Linked DNA regions of Bombyx mori. The protein of the gene in region 2 interacts with the protein of the main gene of each other region in a biochemical or structural test. Links are inferred from orthologs where the notes say so. Each region holds a gene or a part of one and is shown on either strand. Other genes may lie near its edges.

What was found.
Region 1: the proteins of origin recognition complex subunit 2 (region 2) and origin recognition complex subunit 4 form a complex in vitro, tested with the Drosophila melanogaster proteins (3 studies listed by BioGRID, with this or other methods). The link is inferred for Bombyx mori from reciprocal best matches to the Drosophila melanogaster genes Orc2 and Orc4.

Annotation. Positions count from the first base shown.
Region 1 is NC_085108.1:2,850,440-2,857,230, forward strand, and holds the start of origin recognition complex subunit 4, read right to left. Parts: upstream 3,915-6,791; 5' UTR 3,769-3,914; coding exon 3,559-3,768; intron 2,897-3,558; coding exon 2,771-2,896; intron 2,174-2,770; coding exon 1,951-2,173; intron 1,112-1,950; coding exon 887-1,111; intron 1-886.
Region 2 is NC_085115.1:9,007,337-9,013,989, reverse strand, and holds the end of origin recognition complex subunit 2, read left to right. Parts: intron 1-772; coding exon 773-861; intron 862-1,325; coding exon 1,326-1,496; intron 1,497-1,663; coding exon 1,664-2,195; intron 2,196-2,620; coding exon 2,621-2,854; intron 2,855-4,726; coding exon 4,727-4,926; 3' UTR 4,927-5,008; downstream 5,009-6,653. UniProt on the Drosophila melanogaster protein: Component of the origin recognition complex (ORC) that binds origins of replication. DNA-binding is ATP-dependent, however specific DNA sequences that define origins of replication have not been identified so far.

The DNA.
Region 1 (6,791 bases), on a different chromosome or scaffold from region 2:
ATTAATTTATTTATCGATACATCAATCATTGGACATCCACTGCTGGATATAGACCTCCTTTAAGGATATTTACATTGCTACAGAATAATTTAAAATATTAAGGAAATCGTATTCTATAAAACAAAAGTGACTAGACCTGTGAAATTTGTTTGTCTCATTCATAAATTCATTCGCTCGTTCATTAATTTTACAGTCGTCGTGGCCTAAAGGATAAGACGTCCGGTGCATTCGTATCGAGCGATGCACCGGTGTTCGAATCCCGCAGGCGGGTACCAATTTTTCTAATGAAATACGTACTCAACAAATGTTCTCGATCGACTTCCACGGTGAAGAGTGAAGGAATAACATCGTGCAATAAAAATTAAAGCCGCAAAATTATAATTTGCGTAATTACTGGTGGTAGGACTCCTTGTGGGTCCGCGCGAGTAGGTAGCACCGCCCTGCCTATTTCTGCCGTGAAGCAGTAATGCGTTTCGGTTTGAAGGGCGGAGCAGCTGTTGTAACTAAACTTGAGACCTTAGAACTTATATCTCAAGGTGGGTGGCGCATTTACATCGTAGATGTATATGGGCTCCAATAACCACTTAACACCAGGAGGGCTCTGAGCTCGTCCACCCAAATAAACAATAAAAAAATAAAAAGTCATTATTAATCATTATTATTATTATTAATTAATTCATCTTTCCTTCTATACAGAAAAAAAAAAACTAGGTATCTAATAACAATGTGTAAGCAAAACTTATTATCTACTTTACAAATATTAGATTTCCGGCCACTGCTTCTCCGGCGACAAAGCATGAGGCGGCATGTGCGGACACGCATTCAATGCAGTGGGATGAAATATAATCTAGTATAGAATATCACGTAAGCAATTATATTAGCTCACCGATGGACTTCCTTGATTTTCTTTTCTTCCTCGGCGACACAGAACCCTCCAGGGGCAGACTCAGCAATTCCACAAACAATCTCTTTCTCCCTTCCAGAGGCGAGATAATATCATACCGGTCATCATCATTGACTTCATTAGGAAATATGAATATGTGACGATGGGAAAAACGGGATTTGACCCTTTTTTCAAACAACTCCATAATGTCTAAGCGATTTGTTACACCTGTGCACAGTAAGGAAGCATGATATTTAATGAAATGAAGATTTAACATCTTCGAGCAAGGATTTCTCCTGTGTTAATGGTAATGGAAAGACACATAGAAACAAGTAGGCATCAAATACCAAATATATTTAAGACTAGCTAGGCATTATTATTATTTCTCACCCCCAGAAAGATTCTCGTCATTAACGCCCCCGCAACTGGTGTAGGAAGTTTTTTTTATTTTTTTTATTTATTGCTTAGATGGGTGGACGAGCTCACAGCCACCTGGTGTTAAGTGGTTACTGGAGCCCATAGACGTCTATAACGTAAATGCGCCACCCACCTTGAGATAAGTTCTAAGGTCTCAGTATAGTTACAACGGCTGCCCCACCCTTCAAACCGAAACGCATTACTGCTTCACGGCAGAAATAGGCAGGGTGGTGGTACCTACCCGTGCGGACTCACAAGAGGTCCTACCACCAGTAAGTCCAACACTCATATAAATATTAGCCTATCCATTAAGTACATGTATTTTCTACATGGATACCAATTTTCATGTCAATCGAACGCATGGTTCAGTAGTTATAATGGAACATCCGTAAAAACCACTGTAGATTTATATATTAGTATAGATGTGTGATAGTATGAAGTGAAGATACATTATTAATTTTAAAACGTGACAAGCAGATTAAGTCGCATTTTAATGCCTATGATGGATAACCTACACAACATGTATTAAAGGATAAGCAAGGACTGTAGCAATGTTAATGCCATCACCACAGTGATGCCAAAGGCCAGTCTCAATCGTATATTATAACATATTCTGAGAAAAACAACAAAAACAATCTCAGCGAACTTACCGATAACACACATAGGAGCCGTCTGTGAATGAGTTACGTCAAATAAGTTATACAGTAATGTCTGGGAGATACCGCTGTGGCAAAACATGTCACACTGGTCTAGAATGAATACCATGCTTCGACATCGTCTGTCAACACCAGTCTGGATGCAGCTTAACAAAAACGAGAGGTTCTCGGCAAAGGTACCGAAAACTCGTTCACCCACAGTATTTTCTAATTGCATCTGTAAAGAATAGTGTAGGTGAGTCCATCTTAGTTGGTGAGGCTTCAATTTAATTCAGATTAGTTAAGCCTGCCTTTAATTATACTGTGGTTAAGACACCAGTAGTCAAGCTTCAAAAGTGGCCAAGGTTTTGCCATTGTGTTGTCCCCCTACCAAGACCTTGGCTACAGATTTTTTTCTCATATCCAATGCATTAGTGAAGAGTCAACCACCATGTTTATCATATTATTACAGTCTAGTCCAGTGTTTCCCAACCTTTTTTGTGCCATGCCCCACTGTAACATTTTTAAATTTTTTATGCCCCCCATACATAATTTTAGCATAATAAAATAATTTCAATACAATTTTCTTTATTGATTTAATGCAATTGCCCTTCTTAATTATCAAATTGCCAACTTGTAGGCTATGGGCACCACGTTGGGAAACACTGGTCTAGTCTATTACACACAATGGTCTTTAGTTAAGTACAATTCACTATCCTATTCAGAACAAAATATAATAGAAAAACCTTTCCTGCTATACAGGAATACAATTGAACAAACATTAATAGAATTCTTTTTGACATTTTTATTAGATTCATAAAAAGGCCTCAATCACCTGCGCTGTGATAGCTTTAAGGGCCAGTTTATCATCACTATGTACAAGGCCATTCAGTTGAATTATAATAGCATCATTCTCCAAATCTGTCTCTCTAGAGAGCTGGTGAAGTACCGAGTTTAGTAGCTGAAATGAAATGTTTTACCATTATTGAAAGGTCACAACAGATAACATTTTCTGTACAGAGGCCCTTGCTTCACCTTATATTAAATTGTAACTAGAAAGTGAGAGAGAGAGAATATACTTTATATGCACACCAAAACACAATTAACAATAGAAAACAGTCAACAAGCAGATCCATTTGTACAAATCTTATCATCTCATCATCAAGAGATCTCTTCCAGACAGCCACTTAACTATACAGAAATTCTGGAAAAGATAAAGATATAGCAGGTATGTTGCTATGTACTACTAGCAATACATTATTAAAGAAAATATAAAGAAAATAATAAAAGTGATGGGATCTGAACAAAAATATCATTCATGGGTCAGGTAGAATTCAGAATTGTATTGTTTGACAATCATCCTAGCTTCCACGCTGGAATGCACTGCTACTTCATAAAAAATAGGCAGAATCCAACATACCTACCCAAATAGACTGACAGTAAACCATACCACTCTTAAATCTTGCTGCATTATATATACCTATCTATCACATATGTATCTGTCACATGAAGAGCTGAGAGCGGCCACAATCACCTATATTGTGCTAAGCTGGTGGACATAAAACAATTTAAAAATATTGTAAATTAAATCCGCGAATTGTATATTGAAGCACAAGAACTTACAGTGGTTTTTCCACTACTTCTCGGCCCTATAAGTAAAGCCGAATGCGATTCTCCTTGTAAGACAGTTCTTCTTAATAATTCGTACACATGATTTCTTTCCTGGTCGTGCCCCCGAAACAATACATTGTCTTCTATTAATTTCAATTTTATGTACTTCCTTACAAGTTTTATTTGAATAGCCAACGGGTCTGTATCCATTGATCCACGCATTTTCTCAGACAATGTTATTTATGATTATTTTGTGAAGTGTTTTAGCTTTATACATCGAAGCATAAAATTATTTAATAAATATTTAAAATGAGTTCAAAAAGAAATTTTCGCGGCATAAAATGTCATCCCAAGAAACATCAAACAGCATGACAGTTGACACTGTCAATTAGAGATGTCCTTCAATAATCACCATAGATTATACACTTAATATATTTGAGATTACTGATTGTTCACCATAGTCTACTAAGTATTACGGAGGTAAAGATATTTCTACCCTCCATACTAAGTATGTCAACTACACATTTTGAGATTAAATCGTATTCACCCGTTTTGTCTACTTTGCTCCTAGTTTATAAATGTGCATAAAGCTGAGTTTACAAGTAAATATGGCTTTTATGATGTATCGAAAAGAAACTTTGAAAATAAATTGGCATGTTTCGTTCTGTTTAAATAAAATAGATAATAGCGTCAATTTTAAGTCTTGTACGTTGCAAGTACTCAGTGACTCTTTTAAATGAAAGAAAAGTGTTTGTAACTCAGGAGTATGCACGTTAATTTTTAAAGTAGATGATACTTCTTAAAATGTCTATGGCATGAAAGTAAAAGAGCGCATGCTCGTGAAATCTAATCAATAGACTAAATGAAACATATGATAACAAGAAAATCGAGATATAGCTCCGAATTTCTTCTAACAAATAGTTACATTTTTAGTTCACACCCTTAAGAATTAAAAACTTATAACGTGAAATATTTATTGAACTTAAGTATTTAAGCACTTTATAGTAGTTACAAGTATTCTTCATATGAATATAGGAGAACGTGTGAACTTGAACCGATCAAAGAAATATTTGTATTCATATCCCTGGATTTAATTCTCGTGTACATTGCCTAAAACTTCGTATTGTCCCGTTCTCGCATTTTGACGATTTCTAAAAATAAATCTTTAGTCCTCGTCATGACCTTAAATTCCACGGTTTTTGTGTACCCGTTCATATTATTGAAAATTGGGACAATCTGGAAATTAATTCAATTTGTTTCTTAAGAAGTTGATCGTAAAAAATTATACTTAAAAAGTGAACAAACCAAAGTTTTTCAAAATTTTATTTCGTATTCGTTCGTTTATTAACTATAAAAATTGCACCGTGGATTGTAGCTGAACACCCAACCATTTATGGAAAAAAGTGAAAATATTTTCGAAAAACAATGTGAATATCAGAATTATAGATGCAGCGTCGTGCGTTTTCCGAAATGAGAGTTTTTAATTAGTGCAGCAGGTTTCAACCACTTAAATTCATTTAGCAAATTCGCACAAGACACGAGCCCTAAATAATCACAATGTAATTTGTATTATAAATTATTATGTTATAGTGCAGCAGCAATTTGGCACAGCTTTGAATTTTATAAAAAAAGAAGTACCTAAATAGAGGAAGTCAATATTGCTTTAAGCTTAAAAATTGTAAGTTATAGTATTTAAGCTTAACGCCAGAATCATTAATATGATTACATTTTCATCATAGCACCAAAATATGCACAAAGTTTACCTTCAGACATGAATTCTCATACCCGCATTCATTCAAGGCCACTATTCAAAGTCAATGCCGCAATTTCACAGCAAACCGGTGTTTAGTGAATCGATACGTTACTCTTTTAGCTTAATATAAATTGATGTCTCACTCAGATCAGTAAGTGAAATAGTATTATATTATTAGGAAATTTAGCTATTGGACAACACTATCGATCCAAACTTAGAAAATATTTTGAAGATGGTTTGAGGCACGCAATGAACAGATTATTTGTGTATCTACCTGTTCAGAGATAGTTTTTTGATTTAACTGACAATATCTTTTTCTTTGTCTTTCTTGATGTTTATTCATAGATGATCCAACAGACACAAAATAAGTGTCATTTGTATAGATTTTATTCACAAAGAACTTGAGTTTAGAGAGCCTTATCACGATGGTCTTTTAAAAATAGTTTTACAAAAGTGTTTGTTGATCGATTGTATTAGACTAAAAGATTTGAAACTTAGAGACACAGATCACTGCTTTGTCGTGTGTGCCGATTTTCAAGCTCCTGTACTAATTAATTATTCAGCCAGGATATTTTCAGTTTTCTATTTCAAAGTAAGTATAGCAGATAGGTGGCGTATTATTTCAATTTTCATTATGTTGTAAGATTACAACACCGTTGTTAAGCATAGCATTGGCAGGTCTGAATTGTTTACAACAGTTTGTTTTCAAAATAAACTTGTTTGGGACCACAAACATTGATAACAAACAGCCATAAGATACAATGTAAAACAAAATAATATTAAATTATAAAAGTTTATGTTGCAGTCGAGACTATGTTATGTGCAGATTAATTAAAATTATGAATCATCCACAAGCCAATAACGCATTGTTCCATTTAATTTACAGGCAAGTATGTAGGCTAGAATATTAACTTTTATATTTTGTAAGTCCTGTTTTATGCATTGTATTATGACTGTTTGTTTTCCATGCATAAAAGTCCACACACAACATTCTTACTATTGTGATACATATGAGACTAATAAATAAAACTAACAATTTATGGATTCACTACACAGGTCCATTGTGTTATTGAGAGAGGAGGTTGAGAATGACACTGGATTTGTGACCCTAGCGTAAATTTAAGGAGCCCCTATCTATGTTCATTATACTTATCTTCATTCTCCCCATTCTCTCCCTGCCTAGCCATATTTGGTAGGAAACTATTAGTCTGGCTTTAGATGTTTAAACAAGTCTAGAATTTATGGAGTTTTGTTTTTTGAGAGCCAAGATTTTAGTGAGAGACTTCACTGGTATATCTCTTTACTTCACCAGCATATAACATACCAGCTATCCATATTTGATCAGCCCATTCCTGGGATCATAGTATAAGTTTGTTTGTTTGTGTGGTCTTAAGTCTGGAATGACCTTTAAATGAGTCGACTATTATCAAAGCCGGCAATCTGACTTTTGGACAATGATTGGTAAATCAGAAAAACGAATTATTGACTTTGT
Region 2 (6,653 bases):
CATGGCAATAAAACTTCATCAGCTAGTTGAATGGGGTAAACATAATTGAAGTTCTATTAAAAATGTGAAATTGTTGATGCTAATACCAAATAAAAAGAACATAATTACAAAGATAAATTTCACATAATATTATTTAACATTTGGTTTAAGTGGATTTCACCCATCAATATAATAGTACTATAGTAATATTTTTGAGTTTAATAATTTAAAGATACACAGCAAGTCCTAGAAATAGGGGTAAAGCTTAATATTGATTAATTTTTAAAACTTCCAACTTTTAAAATTGAACATTTCAGTTAATAATTGGTTTTATTGGGTTATAGATATTCATATGATCATTTCAAAATAGAATTTAGTTCTTAACATAAATACGTGTATAAAAGCAAGTTAAAACAAATACATTAGAAGTTGAAATAAATAATATTTGTTATACAGTTCTCTAGGAATAAAATGAACACTAGGATGTTTATTATATTCATATTAAGTACTGCAATTTTGGGAGTACTAACGTTAGGACAGAGTTTTCCTTTTTTGTATTATATGGCTTGAGCCTGTTTGGTAATTGTCTGGTAACAAGAGACCACCTACACACCAATGCCAATGACCTGACATGAGGTTGAAGTCTCAAAGATTTTGTAACAGTTGGCCCAAATTAAGAATGATCATAAATTGTAATGAGCCGGTAGTTTTTTTTCTTAGTAAATTTGTTGAAATACTCAATATACTGGAGTACACTCAAATGTTATCTACATACTACATACATCTCTTTCAGGAATCATTCAGGAAGTAGACAGTGATAGTTCTGGTGATTTTTCTGGAAGCAGCAGTGATTTTGTTCCAGATGAGAGTGAAAATGAGGAGGTAAACTGATAGTACTGAAGTTTTGTACTCCTTTTCCCACTTTAAATTGGGCCAGCTCTTATAATTCCTCTACGCCAGGATTTTTTATCCTCAGATCCTTGAGTTCTATGCCTCAATTGCATATTAATAAAAACAAAGATTGTAAATTGTTATTGTTTGACTGTTATTGTATGATGCTATTCCTTCATCATGGCCATGGGTTAAGTTTGTACATACATATATCATTAGATAATTGGTACCTGCTTACTACTTAGCACCACCCGATACAAATATACTGGGCGTCTTATTGTTTAGGATAGAATGACTGAAAAACTTTTTCTTTCTTTGAGTTTTCATGGTCATCAGACAACTGAGGTGTTATTTAACATGTGATTAAACTGTAACCATTACCATTTTAAATGATTACAACTCTCGAATGTCAAAGAAAATACTATATACTATTTTAATAAAAATATTTTCTGCAGCAATCTGATTCTTCATCATCATCATCAACATCAGTAGAAGATGAGAAACCTCAGAGGAAAGATTCAGTTAAAACACAAATCACCAGAAACAGGAACAATAAAATGAAAATTAAGGATTCAGAATACATCGTAAAACCTGACAACTATTTTATGATGAATTCTAGTAAAAAAGTTAGTATGTTTATTTCTTCATACCAATTGAATTATTGAATTATCAGCATACAATATTGTATTGATTTCATGTTGATGCTTTATTTTTATTCGAGCTCAATTTTTAATTGATTTTCATTTGAACTTACTTTGATATTGTCTAAATAAAGAAATTTATAATATTACAGATAGCCACATCAGATCACACTCTTGCTAGATTGAAAAACATGAATATTCAAGATAATTCTCCAGATACTGTACATATATCAACAGAACACAGGAAAAAAATAGCAGAGCTCAACTATAACCATCGACAGCTCTTTGACAGATGGCTGTATGAACTAAGTGAAAACTTTAGTATTATTTTATACGGCATAGGATCGAAACGAACTTTGCTCCAACAGTTTCAAGCTGAGAAGTTGAACAAGTTTCCGTGTATAATGGTAAATGGATTCTTTCCGAGTCTCACCATTAAGGATATCCTAGAAAGCATCGTCGTAGATCTACTAGGGAATACAACTGTACCGTCCAATATTGGCAGCGTTGTAAAATTGATTGACAGTCAGCTGTCAGAAAATGGCGTGGACCTATTTCTGATAGTAAACAACATCGATGGACCTATGTTAAGAAATTCTAAATCACAAGTTACTTTGGCTAGTCTATCTCAGATAAAGAATGTGCACACCATTGCAACGATCGATCATATTAATGCCCCGTTACGTAAGTACCTTACTTTTTTTTCTTAAACGCTCAATTTTAGCATGAGAAAGTACTTGATTAAAATATGCATTTAAGTTAACTTTTGCAAGTGATTATTAATCTAAAAACTTAATTTAGTTTTTGAAGTTATTTGTTTTTTTCCTACCTACGCTGATGATCTAGAGAGGCCATATCATTGTCACCGGTCTAGTAGGTGAGCTCACGGGGCTCTAACCTGACGACGTTACTAACACTAACCCTAGCAAGAGCTGTGCTTCGCAGAATCTGCTATCAGATCGGAAACGCAAACCACTGAGAAGATCCGGCGAGTGGGCCGTGTCTGTGGGCTAATATACTCGCCGAGCCCTTCGTCGCAAGCGTTGAAGTTATATAAAAAGCGCTACACCACGTAAACGATTAATTAAGCAGAATAATTCAATTTTCAGTATGGGACTATTCTAAATTGAGTAAATACAACTTTTCATGGTGGGATGTAACTTCGTTTGTTCCTTATACTGAAGAAACTTCCTTCGAGAATTCTATAATGACACACAAAAGTGGCGCCCTACAATTATCATCACTCAGGAGCGTTTATCAGTCATTAACATCGAATTCAAAAGGGATTTTCACTATCCTTATTGAACATCAATTAGCAAATCAAAAGCAAGCCCATTATCAAGGTAAGCCTTGTAAATACTATTTATGACTATGTATTATTATATAAAACAAAAATAGGCTTTCCGCTAAAGTGCCATTTCTGACGTGATGTGTCACGACATGATATAAATGGCAGTAGCAAGAAAAGGCAAGACCATTGGATAAGAACCAACAAAACAATTAAGATAAAATATGAAAATAAAAAAAATAGTATATCGTATTTGTTTTGACAATTTGACTATTTGGTGGTAGGACCACTTGTGAGTCTGCACGGTTAGGTACCACCGCCCTGCCTATTTCTGCCGTGAACCAGTTATGCGTTTCGGTTTGAAGGATGGGGCAGCCTTTGTAACTATCGCGACCGAGGACGTCTCACCTTCCGAGCGACACAGGTGCTCACGGGACACGGCTGTTTCGGTCGCTACCTGCACCTCGTCGCCCGGAGGGAGCCGACGCCGAAGTGCCACCACTGCAGTGGCTGCAACGAGGACACGGTGGAGCACACGCTCGCGTACTGCACCGCTTTCGCGGAGCAGCGCCGCGTCCTCGTTGCAAAAATAGGACCGGACTTGTCGCTTCCGACCGTCGTGGCTACGATGCTCGGCAGCGACGAGTCCTGGCAGGCGATGCTCGACTTCTGCGAGTCCACCATCTCGCGGAAGGAGGCGGCGGAACGGGAGAGGGAGAGCTCTTCTTCCCTCTCGGCGCCGTGCCGCCGCCGTCGAGCCGGGGTTCGGAGGAGGGCGTTTGTCCAGCTCCAGCCCCTATGAGGAGGCAGTCTCCTCCCGGTGATGGTCACGGGGCGACCTAAGGGGGCTGAGGCTGCGCCGCACGCTACCGTCACTCTAGCGCGCTGGCACCAGGAGGACGGGACGGCGCGTCGGCGGCTGCGGACTGCGATGCGGTCCGCATTTTCGTCGTCGCTGTCGTCGCCGAACATACTGTTGAAGAGCAACCCGGTCGGCGGTGTATCGCGTTCCGACCCGGCAGGCTGGTTCTGGCCCAGCGGGGTATCCCGGAACACCAGCGGCACCGCCCGGGCGGCCTGGTAGGGCCGCCGTACCGCGGAGACCGACGTCGTTGGTCGTCGACTATCGCCTCGACGACCCGTCGGTCGGGCGTCCTCGGGGTGGCGCCGCGTGTCTGGTTGTAGTGTTGACCGCGGGAACCCCCCTACTCTGAACGGGTTCTGACCCCGGACGGAGATCGGACGTCGGGTGTAAGAGTGCAGGGGAGTCGTTTAGTGGGTGGGCCCTAAAATCCTTGGGCCCGCGATCTGCTCTCAACACCTGCAGATCGTTGAGTCTCACATACCCCGCGCGCCCCCTAGGCGCGGGGACCTCGTAGGAGGTTCGGCCCCCGGCCCGAAAAAAAAAAAAAAAAAAAAAAGCCTTTGTAACTATATTGAGACCTTAACACACTTAACACCAGGTGGGCTGTGAGCTCGTCCACCTATCTAAGCAATAAAAAAAAAACAAGAACTGACTGAAAATACGACTATAGTTAAAAAAATTACGTGATGGAATTTGATTAAAAGCGGTTTGAATTATTCCAATAGTAATACGAGGAGTTAAACCATTTCGTTTTTTTTCAATAGCATACGTCACACTAGTACGTTAGTATACGCTGCTGCTACTACTAGTTTAATTAATGTAATGTCATTACTTATTTATGTCGTCATAAAAATCTTGATGAAACTATTTCAATAAATATTATACGCGACAATATAAAATAACCGTCACACCGGTCTTACTGAGCGTCCTACTCTTGAAACGTTTCCGTTACCTAAGCGATATGTTCTATCTGGAGAATATACAGCTTAGTGAAAGATAACCTAGTAAAATAAGGGTTATGGTCTAATGTGAACACCTGTAACTCTGAAATTTTGTTTGCAGGACTACCATTTAAGGATCTCTATTCAAAATGCCGTGAACAATTTTTGGTCAGCTCTGACTTAGCTCTCAGAGCACAGTTGACAGAATTCTTAGACCACAAACTCGTTAAAATGAAGAGAACTCTTGACGGCAGTGAAAACTTAATGATACCAATCAATAATGCATTGTTACAACAGTTTTTAGAGCAGCAAACAAGTTAACGGTTCGACTGATGTACATAACCGCATGCAAGCATGAGTTTTAATTTATTAAATATTAAAAAAAAAGTCTGTTTTTTCTTTACCTTATTTGATGTTTCGTATTTTTAACAGCCAATATTTCATCTACCTATAATTCATCTTATAGTGTGTAGTCAGTTGCTCAATGACATGAACAATGTCAGAAGCATAAGCCGATGTCTATCGTTGAAAATTATTTTCAAAGCTCTCGAGGAACTGGATTTCATTCGAGGCGATGGAAGGTAAACACAAAAATTTTACTCCACATGCTTCTGACTTTTAACAGACCAAGGGCATCTAACATTTGCTTTTGTGTTGTTGATGCCAATGGACTTCACTAATCACTGAGCTCTTGAAGTCGTCGTGGCCCAAGAGATAAAACGTGCGGTGCATTGGTGTCGAGCGATGCGATTGTTTGATTCCCACAGGCGGGTACCAATTTTTTTAATGAAATACGTACTTAACAAATGTTCACGATTGACTTCCACGGTGAAGGAATAACATCGGGTAATAAAAATCAAACCCGCAAAATTATTATTTGCGTAATTACTAGTGGTCGGACCTCTTGAGTCCGCACTTGTAGGTACCACCACCCTGCCCATTTTTGCCGTGAAGCAGCAATGCGTTTCGGTTTGAAGGGTGAGGCGGCCGTTGTAACTACCGAGACCTTGGAACTTATATTTCAAGGTGGGTGATGACATTTACGTTGTAGATGGTCTATGAGCTCCAGTAACCACTTCACACTAGGTGGCCTGTCAACTCGTCCACCAGTCTATGCAATAAAAATATTAAGCATTAACATGAAAAATTAGGGAATTAGGGAAAAATGTCAGACTGAACCATTTATGGTCAAGGTTAAATTTGGAATATAGACATTAGTTCTGATACGCAAATATAAAAGTTTATCATAAACAAAAAAAAACAAATACTATTATTAATTTTTATTTTACAATCCCAGAAATAAAGTCTTAATAGGATTATATAATATATATCAACAGACCAAGTTGTAAATTACTTAAACTTAATGACTTACATAATATAATAAAATTATTAACTAAAATTCTCTTCAACATATCTGGCACATACACCATGATGCATCAACCAAACACTTCATTGATATAAGTGCATTGCTCATTTTAGATTTAAAAATATTGTAGAAAAATACTCTCTGAACTCAAAGGTTTTATCTAATTTAATTGTTTTATGATATTCACATAACGCCCTTTCGAAATTCCAGTTAATTTTGTTAACATCAACTTTTAGGTTTTCATAGTCTTTTTTTAAGTTTTATGGTACCTCCTTGTATATATATACCTACTGAAGATGTTATTGTAATCAATGGATTTTACTCTTGGATGATAGTAAATATTTGTTATATAAGGTATTTATTTATTGCAGGCCAGTAATCTGGTGAAAGATGATTTTTAAAAGTGAGACAAAAGACCAAACATGGTTAAAAAGATGATTTTTGCAACAAATGGTATTGTATGCAATTTTTTTAACGTACTTATTATCTATATCCAAATTGACACAATGCCAGTAATTCCCATTCCATTTTTATCAATTTCTTCAGTCTAATTTGGTCGATAATGTAGGTGAAGCCCATAACTTATAATTTATTGTGTTTTAATGGTTTGAAAGGGCTTAAATACTTTCATAATTTAATTTTCTCTCAGCTTAAATCTAACTTATATAAAACAGAAATTTAG